Macaca fascicularis: one gene and its partner. The protein of the gene in region 2 purifies or fractionates together with the protein of the main gene of each other region. This does not show direct contact. Links are inferred from orthologs where the notes say so. Each region holds a gene or a part of one and is shown on either strand. Other genes may lie near its edges.

Region 1 (8,104 bases), on a different chromosome or scaffold from region 2:
GAGAGAAAGTCTTGCCCTGTCACCCAGGCTGGAGTGCAATGGCACGATCCTGGCTCACTGCAACCTCCGCCTCCCAGGTTCAAGCGATTCTCCTACCTCAGCTTCGTGAATAGCTGGGATTACAGGTGCGCACCACCCCACGCCTGGCTAATTTCTGTATTTTTAGTAGAGACGGGGTTTCACAGTTCGGCTGGTCTCGAACTCCTGACCTTGTGATCTGTCTGCTTCAGTCTCCCAAAGTGCTGGGATTACGTGCGTTAGCCACTGCGCCCAGCCTATTTACTTTTTGAGACAGAGTCTCTCTCTGTTGCTCAGGCGTGAGTACAGCGGCATAGTATCAGCTTACTGCAACCCCCACCTCCAAGGTTTAAGTGATTCTCCTGCCTCAGCCACCCAAATAGCTGGGACTACAGATGCGCACCACCACGCCTAGCTAATTTTTGTATTTTTAGTAGAGACGGGATTTCACCAGGTTGGCCAGGCTGGTCTCGAACTCCTGACCTCAGGTGATCTGCCCACATTGGCCTCCCAAAGTGCTGGGATTACAGGTGTAAGCCACCGCCCTCAGGCTCTAACATTCCTTTATTAAATTCTTTTAACTACCTAGCTTGAGGGTACCATCTGTTTTCTCTAGGATTTTTTCTTTTCTGTTTTTTGAGACAGAGTTTTGCTCTGTTGCCCAGGTTGGAGTGCAGTGGCGCCATCACGGCTCACTGCAACCTCCACCTTCCTGGCTCAAGCAATTCCCCAGCCTCAGCCTCCCAAGTAGCTAGGATTACAGGTGCACACCACCATGCCCAGCTAATTTTTTGGTATTTTTAGTAGAGACGGGATTTCATCATGTTGGCCAGACTGGTCTTGAACTCCTGACCTCAGGCAATCCACCTGCCTGGGCCTCCCAAAGTGCTGGAATTACAGGCGTGAGCCACCACGCCCGGCGTTCTCTAGGATCTTATTTGACAGAGCCTAAAGGCCCTTCATAGTCTCTCCTTATTTCTCCAATTTCCTTTACTTTTAGTCTTTCAGGTTGATTTGTCTGTTTAAAGTCCCTGGTTCTAATCCCAGCTACTCAGGAGGCTGAGGCTGGAGGATCACTTAAAGCCACAGGAGTTTGAGACCAGCCTGGGAAATATAGCAAGACCCCATTTTTTAAATTGTATTTTTTTAGAATTTAAAATAAAATTTCTTGGGGAGACAGGGTCTCACTATGTTGCCCAGGGGCTGGTCTTGAACTACCGGCCTCAAGCCATCCTCCCACACCTTAGCCTTGCAAGGTTCTGCGATTACAGACGTGAGCCATTGTGCCTGGCGGTGAGACCCCATTTCTAAAAATGTATATATAAATAAAAAATAGGCAGGCGTGGTGGTACATGCCCATGGTCCCAACTCTGAGGCTGAGGCAGGAGGATCACTGATGCCCAGGTCAAGGATGTGGTGAGCTTTGATCACGCCACTGCACTCCAGCCTGGGCAACAGAGTAAGACCCAATCGCTAGAAAAATAATAAAGTAAAATAAAAATAAATAAAGTCCCTAGAATGCACCAAGTCCTTTGCTGCTTCAGGACCTTTGGCCAAGGATCCTCTGCCTGAAATATTCTTCCTCGCATTCTCTTATGCTTCATGTCTCAGGTTAAATGTCCTTTTCTCCCAGAGGCCTTTATAGACCTCCATCCAAAAATAGGTAGCCCCAGTGATTCTCTCTCATACACTTTGCTGTTTTATTTCATAGTACACATCTCAGCTTGTAGCTGGATATTTGTGTTCATTTTTTCAGTGTCTTTCTCGTTGGTCTGTAATCTCCATGAGGGTGGGACCCGTTGGGCTTTGTTTAGTTATAAACCTTAGCACTTATCACATAGCCTGACAAATAGTAGGTACTCACTAAATCCATAACGAATGGATGACTTTTAGTGCTGTCTGCTCACTATCCTTCAAGTCATACATTTGGACTCCAGGAAAGTTCTTGCTCAAAGGTGCCGGCAAGTCATTCTAACTCCTGCAAACAACAGCTTTTACAATAGGATGGTGGGGGAACCACTAACCAGTCCAACAAGGCACAAGAATACAATTGATCCCACCAATCCTCTCAGACACAACTATTAATACTCTTTATTGCCTATTTCACACCCCTCCTTGTAAGAATGAAACAGGAGGGAAATGCACTGGGCTCTCAGAGCCCTAAGACTCAACAAGCTGCCAAGTTGGATTAGACACCCAGGTTGGAGAAGGAGTAAAGCAGCTAGCCTATGGAACCTTGGCAAGATAACTGCTCAGATGCCACTGACATGCATAGATCGATGACTGGCTTCCCAGGGGAATGTCAACAACTGACACCCACACTGTGGTCTCCCACATGTGGATACATCAGTGTTTACTTAACCATTCCCTTATTTCAACACGTGTTGAATGAAAGTCTACTATATGTCTGTTACTGTGTGCCACAAAGGTAACAAAGTCACTGCTCCTGCTGCTTTTAAAAGACATTTACAAGGAGGTACTTGAGAGACAGTTATGAAAACAAACTATTATGCAGGATAAAAATACAGTCTACACAAAGGAGCAGAGAGGACAAAAAGGATAAGGGGTATCTAATCCTGTGGAAGGTTTCACTGAGAAGGCAGCACAGAACTGACTTGATGCGTAAGGTAGGCGCCTTCCGGACCAACAAGGCACAGAGTGCATTCCAGGTGAAACATGTATATGCGCAATGGAGGGGGATTTGGGTTTTTAAGTTCTTGGAATGTGGAGTACAAGTGGGAAGTGGTGGAAGTACAACACGGACAGAAAAGCCAACCTGACTTAGATCACATAAGACCTTGCAAAGGAGCTTAGCAAATAACTACTGGCAATGGTCAGCCACTGAAGCATTTACAGGCCCAAGAGCAGCATTAGGTTTGCCTTAATTCATTGGGTTGGCACTGAGAAGATAGAGTGGAGTCAGACTAGACACAGGTAAGGAACCATCTCCCCGTCTCTCGTCTCTCCCACTCCCTCCCGCTGGCAGTAAAGAGGCTACGCAGTGGTTGAAGAAAAGTACCAGAACCAGGGCAGAGGCGGTGCAAATGTGTGATCTAACACAGATACGTAGGAGCTACAACGTATACCAGGATCTTAGGGTGGAGGTAAGTGTGAGGGATGACTGCAGATAGAACTCCTCTCTTTGCCTTGGACAACTGGCCAGTCTTACCAAGCTGGGACAGAGATGGTGGTAGAAGAGGGGTCCTAAAAGGAAAACATGAATGTGCTTTTCATAAGCGGATTGTGAGGAGTCCGCAAGACTTACAGGTGAATGTGTCCCCTAGGGAGCTGATTTGATAGGGGTCTGGGGGTTTTGAGCTGGATCCAGGTTAGAGACACGGATTTATGGCGTCATTAGCGTGGAAGAAACTGTGCAAAGTTGAATGGGAAAATGGCAAACCTAGAAAACAGCAAATATCACAGTGCGATACCAGTGTCAGCTTTACAAAAGGCTTTTCTCCGTCCTCAGCTTGGACTGAGGAACATCTTTCATTTCACAAGAGTCTCAGGAACTACCAGTGTGAAAAGAGGCTGCGTTCAAGTTGCTGGAGGGCCAGTTCCAACCAGGCGCAGTCAAGAAGGAGGCCCGGCTTTGCGGCTTCACGTCCCTGGAAGCTCTGCACTCCAACGGTTCTGGATCTGCGGCCACGGGCCGCCTTCCCGACCTCCCCCGCGGGCTGGGCGCCGCCCTTAACGTCACGATCACGCCCCCGCCAGCGCTCCTACCGCAACTCGCGAGAGCCACTGCGTTTGACGTCATCATCGCGCGCCATCCCTCCCCTTAGGTGTTTAATCTCCGCGCGCAGGCCGCGCTGAAACCCGACGGCCAGATACCTCGCCGTCCAAGTCTCTGCTCCTTCGAATCATGTTCCCAGCCGCCCCTTCTCCGCGGACCCCGGGTCCCGGGTCCCGAAGGGGCCCCCTGGCCGGACTCGGGCCCGGCTCCACGCCCCGGACGGCCAGCAGGAAGGGTCTGCCCCTGGGGTCTGCAGTCAGCTCTCCAGTGCTCTTCTCACCGGTGGGCCGGCGTAGCTCACTAAGTTCGCGGTAAGTGATCTCCTTGGTTGGGTCTGGCAACCAGCAGGCTCACGGGCCGCAGTGGGCCGGATCGGTTAGTGTCTTCAGAAGCCTTCGGAACCGGGGGCGGCGGAAGAGAATGCCAGAGTATTGGAAAATAGACGTTTTCCGCTCTTGCAGGTCATACCTGCTTCACTTTTTGAGTTGATTCCCCACTTTGCATTTTTCGTGGATACCTTTGTGCAGAAGTGAAGTACAAACCGGATTCGCATCAATGGTTACCCACTTCCCACCTACTACCGCTGTGATCGGGCGTAAGTCACTCGTGATTTTCTTCATCTGTGAAATGGCGATAATATGTGTCACCTGAGCCAGAGGAGTTAGTATGAATTGCCACGATGCAGATGTAAGGTGATGGTGATAATGAGGACCTGCAACCCTGAAATATAATTGTTTAATGCCTAATATACCAACTGACATTAATATCTGATGATTGGTAATTGAAGGGTTTCTAGCTACGGAATTTAACTTTCTAGGTAAATTATAGGGAAAAGGCTTTACATAAGTGAGATAAGAGTACTGTGGTAATTTAGTTACTAAAACTGCTGGTTTGGAGCACCAGTAAAATCACACACACCCTTCCCCCCCGCCCCCCAACACACACCATGTTCACAATTAACCTAAAACTTTAGAAGATAACGTGTTTCTGCATAGTTTTCTCTGAATTCATCTATAATAAATGAATTTTTCCCTGCAGGAAAACACCGAGTATTGTGTCTTGAAATTATGGTTAAAATTTATCTGTAAAATTTTGCAGTACTATAAAGGATAAGTGGTTTTTAAAGAATGCACCGTATCTTTGTGACTTTTTTTGGGCATATTTTGAAAAGTACAAAGTGCAGATCTTGGCATTGTTTTCTATTCCTTTAACGAAAAGTTGGAGAATAAAAGCGTACTTTATTTACTATGTATGTTGTTTTATTTAAATCTCTTCTTTCTGATGATCATTTGAATAAAAACCTTTGTTATCCTCTGTCAAGAAACAAAGCCCTCAGCCATTCTGTATGTGCATCTCCTCATTTAATTCTCATAAGACATAGAATAACTTATTCTGGTGGCTTTACAGTATTCTAAATGTTAAGAAGAGTGTGAGCAGGAAATAGTTTTTACTCTGATATCTGCTGTTGAAGACCATGTAACAGCTGATGCTCGTAACCTGTTTGATTTCTTGCTTGGTTGTACAGATCTGATAGATTTTTCTTTTAAGAGACAGGGTCTCACTCTCTGTCGCCCAGGCTACAAGCTGGTGCCACAATGCCTGGCTAATGTAAAATTTTTTTTGTAGAGACAAGGTCTTGCCATGTTGCCCAGGCTGGTCTTGAACTCTTGGTCTCAAGTAGTCTTCCCACTTCAGCCACCCAAAGTGCTGAGATTATAGGCATGAGCCACTGCCCCAGCCAGATCTGGTAGATTCTTAAAACCCTAAAGCCAAATGAGAACTTAAATCTCATCTAAGCCAATATTTGTAAAATATATTTGACCACAACATATGGTAAAAGCTGATGTTTTATATTCTGTCTTTCAAAAATATTGATTGAGATCTGCAAAACGACCCACTGTTTGAAAAAAACACTGGTCTAGTTAAGCCTTATTTCACAGCTAAAGAGGCAGAATTATAAGGAGTTTAGGTGAATACAGGCATGCATTTTATTACTAGAGCATATGGAATTGAAGCCAAGTTTTCCTAAATCCTGTCTTTTTACATGAAAAATATTACATTTAATTACATGATAAATATGAGCCAGTGTTAATTTTTTTCAGAGAACTCCTTATTGTGAAAATATATACATAAATAATTAGGATAATGGAAAATTTTAAGTTATAAGTAAGGTAATTAGACTTTTTTCTTTAGAGGAACACCAACACGAATGTTCCCACACCACTCCATAACTGAGTCTGTGAACTATGATGTGAAAACGTTTGGATCTTCTCTTCCTGTTAAAGTCATGGAAGCGCTAACATTGGCTGAAGGTAGGTGTCATCTTTCCGTTTACCTATATTAGCAATTTAGGATGGAGCCTAGATGCGGCATAGAGATTAAATTTATGTTTTCTCACGTATACCTTTATGTAAATGGAGAGAGATGGGTAGCCTTTCTAGTTTTCTTTTTTTTTTTTTGAGGCAGAGTCTCACTCTGTCACCCAGGCTAGAGTCCAGTGGCACGATCTCAGCTCACTGCAACCACCGCCTCCCAGGTTCAAGCGAGTTTCCTGCCTCAGCCTCCCAAGTGGCTGGGATTATAGGTGTGAGCCACCATGCCGGGCTAATTTTTTCTATTTTTAGTAGAGACGGGGTTTCACCATGTTGACCAGGCTGTTCTGGAGCTCCTGACCTCCGATAATCTGCCCACCGTGGCCTCCCAGAGTGCTGGGATTACAGGCATGAGCCACCACACCCAGCCACCTGTCTAGTTTTTTATTTTAATTTACTTTTTTTTTTTTTTTTGAGACGGAGTCTCGCTCTGTTGCCCAGGCTGGAGTGCAGTGGCGTGATCTCGGCTCACTGCAAGCTCGTCCTCCTGGGTTCACGCCATTCTCCTGCCTCAGCCTCCCGAGTCATTGGGACTACAGGTACCCGCCACCTTGCCTGACTAATATTTTGTATTTTTAGTAGAGGCTGGGTTTCAGTGTGTTAGGATGATCTTGATCTCCTGACCTCGTGATCTGCCCGCCTCAGCCCCCCAAAGTGCTGGGATTACAGGCGTAAGCCACCGTGCCCAGCCCTAGTTTTTTACTATAATTGAGATATATAATAAATTTGAGAAGGAGAATGAGTTCATTTGAACACAATCAAATTAAGTCTAATGGTTTTAGGTACTGTACACTAGTCCCCCATTATCTTTGAGGGATATTTTCCAAGATTCTCCGGTGGATGCCTGAAACCTTGTATAGTACCAAACCCTATATATACTGTGTTTTTTCATGCGTACACTCCTATGATAAAGTTTAGTTTATAAATTAGGCACAGTTAAGAGATGAATAGCAATAACTAATAAAGTGGAACAATTATAACAATATACCAGCACTACTCTTGTATTTTGGGGTCATTAAATAAGAATACGAGCATTGCATTACTGCAACAGTTGATCTGGTAACTGAGACAGCTACTAAGTGACAAACAGCTGGATAGTCTTAGGGGTGTCCAATCTTTTGGCTTCCCTGGGCCACACGTAAAATACACTTACCCTAACAAGAGCTGATGAGCTATAAATAAATAAATAAATAGATCTGTGTGTAAATCTCATAATGTTTTAAAAAGTTTACAAACTTGTGTTGGACTGCATTCAAAGCTGTCCTGGGCCACACGTGTCCCTGGGCCGTGGGTTGGACAAGCTTGGTGTATACAGTATGGAAATGCTGCACGAAGGGTTGATTCACAACCTTTAGACAGGACAGTATGAGATTTTTATCACTTTACCCAGAACAACATGCAATTTACAACTTAGGAATTGTTCATTTGAATTTTCCATTTAATATTTTCAGACTGCAATTGACCACAGGTATTTTATTTGAAACTGCAGATAAAAGGGGGAAATACTGTATATGCAAAATTCAGTCTTGTTTGAAGAGTTGATCAAGTTTATGAAGTTTACCATTAAAAAAAAAAAAAACCCAAAACTGGCACTTTATGTTATTGGGTTTAATAATATAGTAAAATCAAGTCCTACCTCTATTTCTGGATCCTATGTAGCATCCCAGAGGCTGTGTGCACAAATTTATGATGTTACCATTGTGGTGGTGTACCTTTAGAAGAGTCTGTTGGCAGAGAATTAGTGTGGAATTTTGACAGATACAATCAACACAAGCTTAGGCAACTTTAAAGATGAACAGTTGGATGACACTGAAAGAGCAAAGTTCAGAGCATCCTTAATATCTGCTGAAGTCATTTTTATTGAGGATTGAATTCTAGATCTTTGTGATTTTTCTGGAACAGTGTTTTTCAAATTGTAGGAGTGACCAAAATTTAGCGGTTCTTGACCAGCATTTAAAAAAAGAAGAAATAGAATGCA
Region 2 (8,057 bases):
TGACAAAGGGATCCTGCCGTGCGTGCATGTGTGTGCATGTGTACATGTATTTTTTTGAGACTGAGTCTTGCTCTGTCACCCAGGCTGGAGTGCAGTGGCGTGATCTTGGCTCAATGCAGCCTCTCAGTCTCTCACGTTCAAGTAATTCTCATGACTTAGCCTCCCAAGCAGCTGGGATTACAGGCGTGTGCCACCATGCCCAGCTAATGTTTGTACTTTCAGTAGAGACAGGGTTTTGCCATGTTGGCCAGGCTGGTCTCAAACTCTTGGCCTCAAATGATCTGCTTGCCTTGGTTTCCTAATGTGCTGGGATTATAGGCATGAGCCACTGCTACCAGCCATATATTTTTATATCCCTCAATCACTTAACATTGTGTTTACTTTTTTTTTTGAGACGGGGTCTCGCTCTGTCGCCCAGGCTGGAGTGCAGTGGTGCGATCTCGATTCACTGCAAGCTCTGCCTCCTAGGTTCATGCCATTCTCCTGCCTCAGCCTCCAGAGTAGCTGGGACTACAGACAACTGTCGACACTATGCCAGGCTAATTTTTTGTATTTTTAGTAGAGACGGGGTTTCATCATGTTAGCCAGGATAGTCTCAATCTCCTGATCTTGTGATCCGCCCGCCTCGGCCTCCCAAAGTATTGTGATTACAGGCGTGAGCCACCGCGCCCGGCTCATTGTGTTTACTTTTATTTTTGAGATGGAGTCTTGCTTCGTCGCCAGGCTAGCGTGCAGTGGTGTAATCTTGGCTCACTGCAACCTCTACCTCCCAGGTTCAAGCGCTTCTTCTGCCTCAGCCTCCTGAGTAGCTGGGACTACAGGCGCATGCCACCACACCCAGCTAATTTTTGTTATGTTTAGTAGAGACAGACTTTCACGATGTTGGCCAGGATGATCACAATCTCTCGACCTTGTGATCCGCCTGCCTTGGCCTCCCAAAGTGCTGGGGTAACAGGCATGAGCCATCATGCCTGGCAGTGTTTACTTAGTATATGGTAAGCACTCAATTACTCTGTGATGAATGAAAGGAATACAATGATTTTTCTTTTTTTGAGATGGAGTCTCCCTCTGTCACCCAGGTGGGAGTAGAGTGCCATCACAGCTCACCGCAACCTCCGCCTCTCAGGTTCAAGTGATTCTCCCGCCTCAGCCTCCTGAGTAGCTGGGATTACAAGCATGCGCCACCATGCCTGGCTCACTTTTCTTTTCTTTTTTTTTTTTTTTGAGACAGAGTTTCACTCTTATTGCCCAGGCTGGAGTGCAATGTCACAATCTGCTCACTGCAACCTCTGCCTCCCGGGTTCAAGTGATTCTCCTGCCTCAGCCTCCCAAGTAGCTGGGATTACAGGCATGTGCCACCATTCCCGGCTAATTTTGTATTTTTAATAGAGAGAGTGTTTCTCCATGTTGGTCAGGCTGGTCTTGGACTCCCAACCTCAGGTGATCCGCCTCCCAAAGTGCTGCGATTGCCAGGGTGAGCCACCACACCCAGCCTAACTTTTGTATTTTTAATAGAGACAAGGTTTTGCCATGTTGGCCAGGCTGGGATTTTTCTTACCTATGGTTCTTACAGCTTCCTTGTGATCAGCTCTGAAGAGATTTATTCGACCATCCTCTCCAACTGTAACGATTTCTGGGTTATTGCACACAACACCTGTACATGGTGCACTGCTATAGGAAGGACTGCCAGGGCCTGCGTGGTAGTGAGCTGTAGTCCACTGCTGGTTGACTGACAGAGTCTAGGCATCAGAAATGAGGATACTATTAAAGAAAAGTACTAAGGAACTAGCACTTCTTACCAACAAGAGTATCTTTAAATTCTGACTCACATCCTTCTACAAGAATAAATCTTTTTTCCTTTAGAATAATGAAATCTAGAAACTACTTGCATCAAAGTTCTGTATACATAGAATTAGATTCAAAAGAAATACTGTTTAATAATGCCCCACATTTATCTCAAACTACAGTAATGACTTTTAGGGATCAAGCAGTTGGATGTTCAAAAGCAACTCTTTGTATTCTTATGGAAATTAACCTACATCTAAAATATAAATCTCTGGCCCATGGCTGTGGCTCATGCCTGTAATCCTAGCACTTTGGGAGGCCAAGGCAGGCAGATCATCTGAGGTCAGGAGTTCGAGACCAGCCTGGTCAATATGGTGAAATCCCATCTCTACTAAAAATACAAAAATTAGCCAGGTATGGTGGCACACACCTGTAATCCCAGCTACTTGGGAAGCTAAGGTGGGAGAATTGCTTGAACCAGGGAGGTGCAGGCTGCAGTGAGCAGAGATCGTGCCACTGCACTCCAGCCTGGGCGACAGAGAGAGACTCTGTCTCAAAATAAATAAATTAATTAATTAAAAAAATATTAATCTCTGTAGCTTTTTCTAAATGACTCAAAAAACCTTTAACACGAACTGGGTCTTATATTTACTAGGCATGTCTATTAGAAACGTTACCTTTGGCCGGGAGCAGTGGCTTATGCCTATAATCCCAGCACTTTGGGAGGGTGAAGAGGGCTGATCACCTGAGGTCAGGAGTTCGAGATCAGCCTGACCAACATGGAGAAACCCCGTCTCTACGAAAAATATAAAATTAGCCGGGCATGGTGTCACATGCCTGTAATCCCAGCTACTTGGGAGGCTGAGGCAGGAGAATCACTTGAAGCTGGAAGGCGGAGCTTGTGATGAGCCGAGATTGTGCCATTGCACTCCAGTGCCTGGGCAAAAAGAGCAGAACTCCATCTCCAAAAAAAAAAAAAAATCACTTTTCAAACTGAAGTTCTTTACCTGGTTATTCGGATGGTGAAGGAAAACTGTTACACATCCTGTTGATGAAGCAGTGACAATTCTTTCCTGGTCAAAAAACTAAAGAGAAAATTTCTGCTTGTTAAAGACTCAGAAATACTAGCAGGGAGGAAATCTATTCATTTATTTAACTCAATTAGTAGCAAATGATAACAATTTTAAAAAGCAAAGAGCCTATGAGTGCTAAGCAAATAACATGTGTTAATGGAGCTGAAAGTCCAAACTGCCATACAAAGCATTTTCATGAATAAACAGTATTTTTTTCCTAGACACATTTACCCGCCATTGATTTAATTTGAGACCAACACAATAAAACGTTAGAAAAATACCATTCCTGGCTGGGTGCGGTGGCTCACGCCTGTAATCCCAGCACTTTGAGAGGCCTAGGCGGACAGATCGCTTGAGTTCAGGAGTTCAAGACCACCCTGGGCAATGTGGCGAGACCTCGTCTCTACGAAAATACAAAAATGAGTCGGGGTTGTGGGGAAGCGGAGCTTGCAGCGAGCCAAGATCGAGCCCCTGCATTCCGGCCTGGTTGACAGAGCAAGACTCAGTTTCAAAAACAGAATAAAAATTTTTAAAAAGAAAAGCCAGGCGCGGTGGCTCATGCCTGTAATCCCAGCACTTTGGGAGGCTGAAGCAGGCAGATCACGAGGCCAGGAGTTTGAGACCAGCCTGGCCAATATGTTGAAACCCCGTCTCTACTAAAAACACAAAAATTAGCTGGGCGTGGTGGCAGGTGCCTGTACTCCCAGCTACTCAGCAGGCTGAGGCAGAAGAATCGCTTGAACCCAGAAGGCAGGGTTGCAGTGAGCCGAGATAGTGCCACTGCACCACTCCAGCTTGGGCGACAGAGCAAGACTCCATCTCAAAAAAAAAAAAAAAGAAAAAAAGAAAGGAAAAATATTGTCCTGGCATGGTGGCTCACGCCTGTAATCCTAGCACTTCAGGAGGCCAAGCCGGGTGAACCACGAGGTCAGGAGTTCAAGACCAGCCTGGCCAACATAGTGAAACCCCATCTCTACTAAAAACACAAAAATTAGCCAGGCATGGAGGCATATGCCTGTTGTCCCAGTTACTCAACGCTGAGGCAGAAGAACTGCATGAACCCAGGAGGCAGAGGTTGCAGTGAGCTGAGATCGTGCCACTGCACTCCAGCTCAGGTGACAGTGTGAGACTCCGTCTCAAAAAAAAAAAAAAAAAAAGATCTTTCCTAGGGCTAGATAGCTTTCTTCTCTTTCTTCTCTCTGTCTCTTTTTCTTTCTTTTTTTTTTTTGGGACAGTGTTTCGCTCTTGTTGCCCAGACTGGCGTGCACTCAGCTTACTGTAACCTCTGCGCCCAGGTTCAAGCAATTCTCCTGCCTCAGCTTCCCGAGTAGCTAGGATTACAGGCGTACACCAGGGCTAGGTAGCTTTCTATAGAATAAAATGCAGGGGCTCTCCACACCAGGATTTGAAAACTTAATTTCGGCCAGGCACAGTGGCTCACTCCTGCAATCCCAGCACTTTGGGAGGCCGAGATCAGGAGTTCAAGACCATCCTGGTTAATATGGTGAAACCCCGTCTCTACTAAAAATACAAACAATTAGCCGGGTGTGGTGGCCTGTGCCTGTAGTCCCAGCTACCTGGGAGGCTGAGGCAGGAGAATCGCTTGAATCCGGGAAGTGGAGGCTGTAGTGAGCCGAGATCATGCCACTGTACTCCAGCCGGGGAGACAGAGTGAGACTTCACCTCAAAAAAAAAAAAAAAGAAAAAAAGAAAGCTCAATTTCATCCCCACCACTCACTACTGGTTTTGAGACTTTGGCCAAGTTAAGTTCACTAAATCGTGGTAAATCTTTAAAACGGGAGCACTAATCTCTGCTTAGGGAGTTGTCATGAGAATTCAAAAAACAAAATGATGTTAATCCCCCTGCACAGTATCTGTCACATAGTACATGCTTAAGATATGTTAGTCTCAATTTTCTCATTAGTAAAACAAAGTAACAATACTTGATATACCGGCAACCAATAATAATTAATTTTTGTAAAGCTCCCCAAACGGTACTTAGCACATAGTCGACGGTCAATAAATAAAAAAGTATGATTAAATCTACATCCCCTTTCCCAGTCCTTTTTCTGCCACTAAATGGCTAAATGATGTCGGCCAAATCATAACTTACAGAGCACTCAGTTTTTTGTAAATGAGGGGTGATACAAGACAACCTTTATGATGCTCTGCTTGTTTAAATGTATTACTCAGGACTTTCAAAGTTAGCTTTTGGATGCTACACAGATTTACCTGTAAATCCATGACATCACCATGGTGTCTGATATCACACAATAATTGATGGTCTCCTTCAAACCCTCCATCAGAGTCCAAGTTTCCAAAATCTCCAATAGACCACAGTGAAACATAATTTTCCTGTAAAACAAAGAGTTTTGTCTTGAGATGACATAAACGTCAACTATCGGAAAATAAAAGTTGCGCTTCCGTCCAGAAAGCTTGCTCCAAAACATCTCAGACAAATAGTATGGTGAGTTTAAAACGTAACGAGATATGAGGCTCAGGCACACCATCACGGGTTCTGAGCTATGGCGCAACCGCGCCTGAGACAGGGTCCGAGGGACCTAGAAGTGCGAGAAAAACCAGAAGGTGGGAGTTGGCGCGCGCGCGGCCAGGGGTCAGCTCAACCGGAGGGAGGGAAGAGGCAGGGGCTCGTCCCTATCAGCAGGGATACCTCATTGTCCCAAGATCCGGTAGCAAACGTCTCCGCGGTTTGCAAACTTCCGGGAGGCAGCGGTCGCCAGCGGGTTTTGCTGATTTTCTGAGACACAAACTTCGCATAAATTTCCTCCATGCCGAAAGCAGCCGCAGCAGGCACTGCAAAAAGCAAGCACAACGCGCGCCTCTCAGCCCCGCCTCTTCCCGCGGAACCCTGATTGGATGGGACTTTAGGAGGGAGACGGTGGCTGCAGAGAGTCAATTCTCTTCGGTAGCCAGTGTGGGCACGGTCAGTATACAAACTGGGAGAACCTAGACCGAGAGGCCCATCTCCTAGAGCGACTCTGAGCAAAGGCAAGAGCGCTTTGGCCTTTGAGCAGTAGGACTTGCTCCTAATCTAAAATATCAGTATTTTCTTGTGTTCAATAATTGTGCAGTGTAAAATTTAAGAGCAAAAATAGAACAAAATCAATACAGTAGAAACCACCTTGAAACCACACCTAAGCAGTTGCAGGTCACTGCGCATAGAAAACAATTCAAAAATCCTTAAATACTCATGGAAGTACCTCGAATACAGTGCCAACCTACTATCCTAAACCTCTCCCTCTTGTCCCCCAAACAAATACTTTGCTTGAAAGTTAATACACACTGTCAGAGCCTGGAGTTAGAATTCTGAAAGACTCCAGTTTTAGTTTTGATGCCAATTGCCTAGCTTTGGTCAATTTAATTATGTGCATGATTAAGAATGAGGTTTGTGATATCTATTGTCAATAGCCCAGGAATCAGTTTTCTAGGTTCCTTCTGTGCTTTTGGTTACACCTATAATATTCTTCCCTTCCTCTTTACTCCTCAGAATCCTGCCTATCCTTCAAGGATCTGTTCTTTCCTTAACCATTTCCTGATGCCCCCAGCCAATGTTGATCTAAATCAACATCGCTTTTTTTCTTTTTGAAGACAGGGTCTCACTCTGTGGCCCAGGTTGAAGTGCAGTGGCACAATCTCAGCTCACTGCAACCTCCGCCTCCCAGATTAAAGTGATTCTCTCACCTCAGCTTCCAGGGTAGCTGGGACTACAGGTGCGTGTCACCATGCCTGGCTATTTTTTTTTTTTTTTGGTAGAGACGGGATTTTACCATATTGGCCAGGCTGGTCTCGAACTCCTGACCTCAGGTGATCCGCCTGCCTTGTCCTCCCAAAGTGCTGGGATTACAGGCGTGAGCTTGCATTTGATATCTAGGCCACTATTACATATATTTTGGATATATTCTATCGTTAGTTTTCTTAAGATGCATATTCCTCCCTAATTAGAATGTAAATCCGGCCGGGCGCGGTGGCTCAAGCCTGTAATCCCAGCATTTTGGGAGGCCGAGACGGGCGGATCATGAGGTCAGGAGATGGAGACCATCCTGGCTAACCCGGTGAAACTCCGTCTCTACTAAAAAAATACAAAAAACTAGCCGGGCGAGGTGGCGGGCGCCTGTAGTCCCAGCTACTCGGGAGGCTGAGGCAGGAGAATGGCGTGAACCCGGGAGGCGGAGCTTGCAGTGAGCTGAGATCCAGCCACTGCACTCTAGCCTGGGCGACAGAATTAGACTCCGTCTCAAAAAAAAAAGAATAAAAAAAGAATGTAAATCCTACTGAATACAAGAGGTATGACTTATCTAAAAAATGAACCTCTTTAATACTACAGGTATTCATAACTGTATGTTGGTTGTTTCTTTAAAAAGGGCCATTATGCTATTGTTGTTTTTATGTGATATTGGTAGTCCTACTTCACAGGGACAGTTTAGGGAAGCACTGCATGTAAATGCAATCCGTCTGGCTCAGCTTTAGAGTTATCAGGTTCCTATCAAGGATTTGACTTTTTTCTTTTCACCAAATGGAAGATCATCAAGAAACTGTAGAAAAGATGAAATGGAAAATATTAAGTGGGTTACAGTCCCAAATCAACAATTTATTCATGTTTAATATTGAAGTAAAGAACACTGTTTTGGCTGGGCACGGTGGCTCATGCCTGTAATTCCAGCACTTTGGGAGATCGAGGCAGGCAGATCACGAGGTCAGGAGTTCAAGACCAGCCTGGCCAACATGGTGAAACTCTACTACTAAAAATACAAAAAAATTAGCTGGGCATGGTGGTCGTGCCTGTAATTCCAGCTACCCGGGAGGCTGCGGCAGAATTCCTTGAACGCGGACCTGGGAGGCGGAGGTTGCAGTGAGCCAAGATCGTGCCACTGCATTCCAGCCTGGGCTACTGAGCGAGACTCCGTCTCAAAAAACAAAAACAAAAACAAAAAACCCAGTTTTGTCAGTAGTTTCATTTATGGTCACAGAATCCCAGAAAATAGGTAGTGACGATTTTGGATGGGAAACAGGCCAGTGTCACATTTTACAAAATCGGGTAAGAACTAGAATTTGAAAATTGTGCTGACATAGTAGCACAGATGTCTTAGCCTTGTTTCCTTCCAACAGATTACTGGAGGCCGGGCGCAATGGCTTACGCCTGTAATCCCAGCACTTGGGGAGGCGGACGAGGGCAGATCC

What was found.
Region 1: the proteins of NUP43 (region 2) and NUP133 purify together in Homo sapiens (affinity purification with mass spectrometry; 5 studies listed by BioGRID and IntAct, counting the BioPlex papers as one, with this or other methods). This does not show direct contact. The link is inferred for Macaca fascicularis from reciprocal best matches to the Homo sapiens genes NUP43 and NUP133.

Annotation. Positions count from the first base shown.
Region 1 is NC_088375.1:19,594,652-19,602,755, forward strand, and holds the start of NUP133 (nuclear pore complex protein Nup133), read left to right. Parts: upstream 1-3,773; 5' UTR 3,774-3,883; coding exon 3,884-4,065; intron 4,066-5,947; coding exon 5,948-6,066; intron 6,067-8,104. UniProt on the Homo sapiens protein: Involved in poly(A)+ RNA transport. Involved in nephrogenesis.
Region 2 is NC_088378.1:57,730,195-57,738,251, forward strand, and holds the start of NUP43 (nucleoporin Nup43), read right to left. Parts: upstream 5,684-8,057; 5' UTR 5,650-5,683; coding exon 5,530-5,649; intron 5,214-5,529; coding exon 5,091-5,213; intron 2,871-5,090; coding exon 2,793-2,870; intron 1,740-2,792; coding exon 1,559-1,739; intron 1-1,558. UniProt on the Homo sapiens protein: Component of the Nup107-160 subcomplex of the nuclear pore complex (NPC). The Nup107-160 subcomplex is required for the assembly of a functional NPC.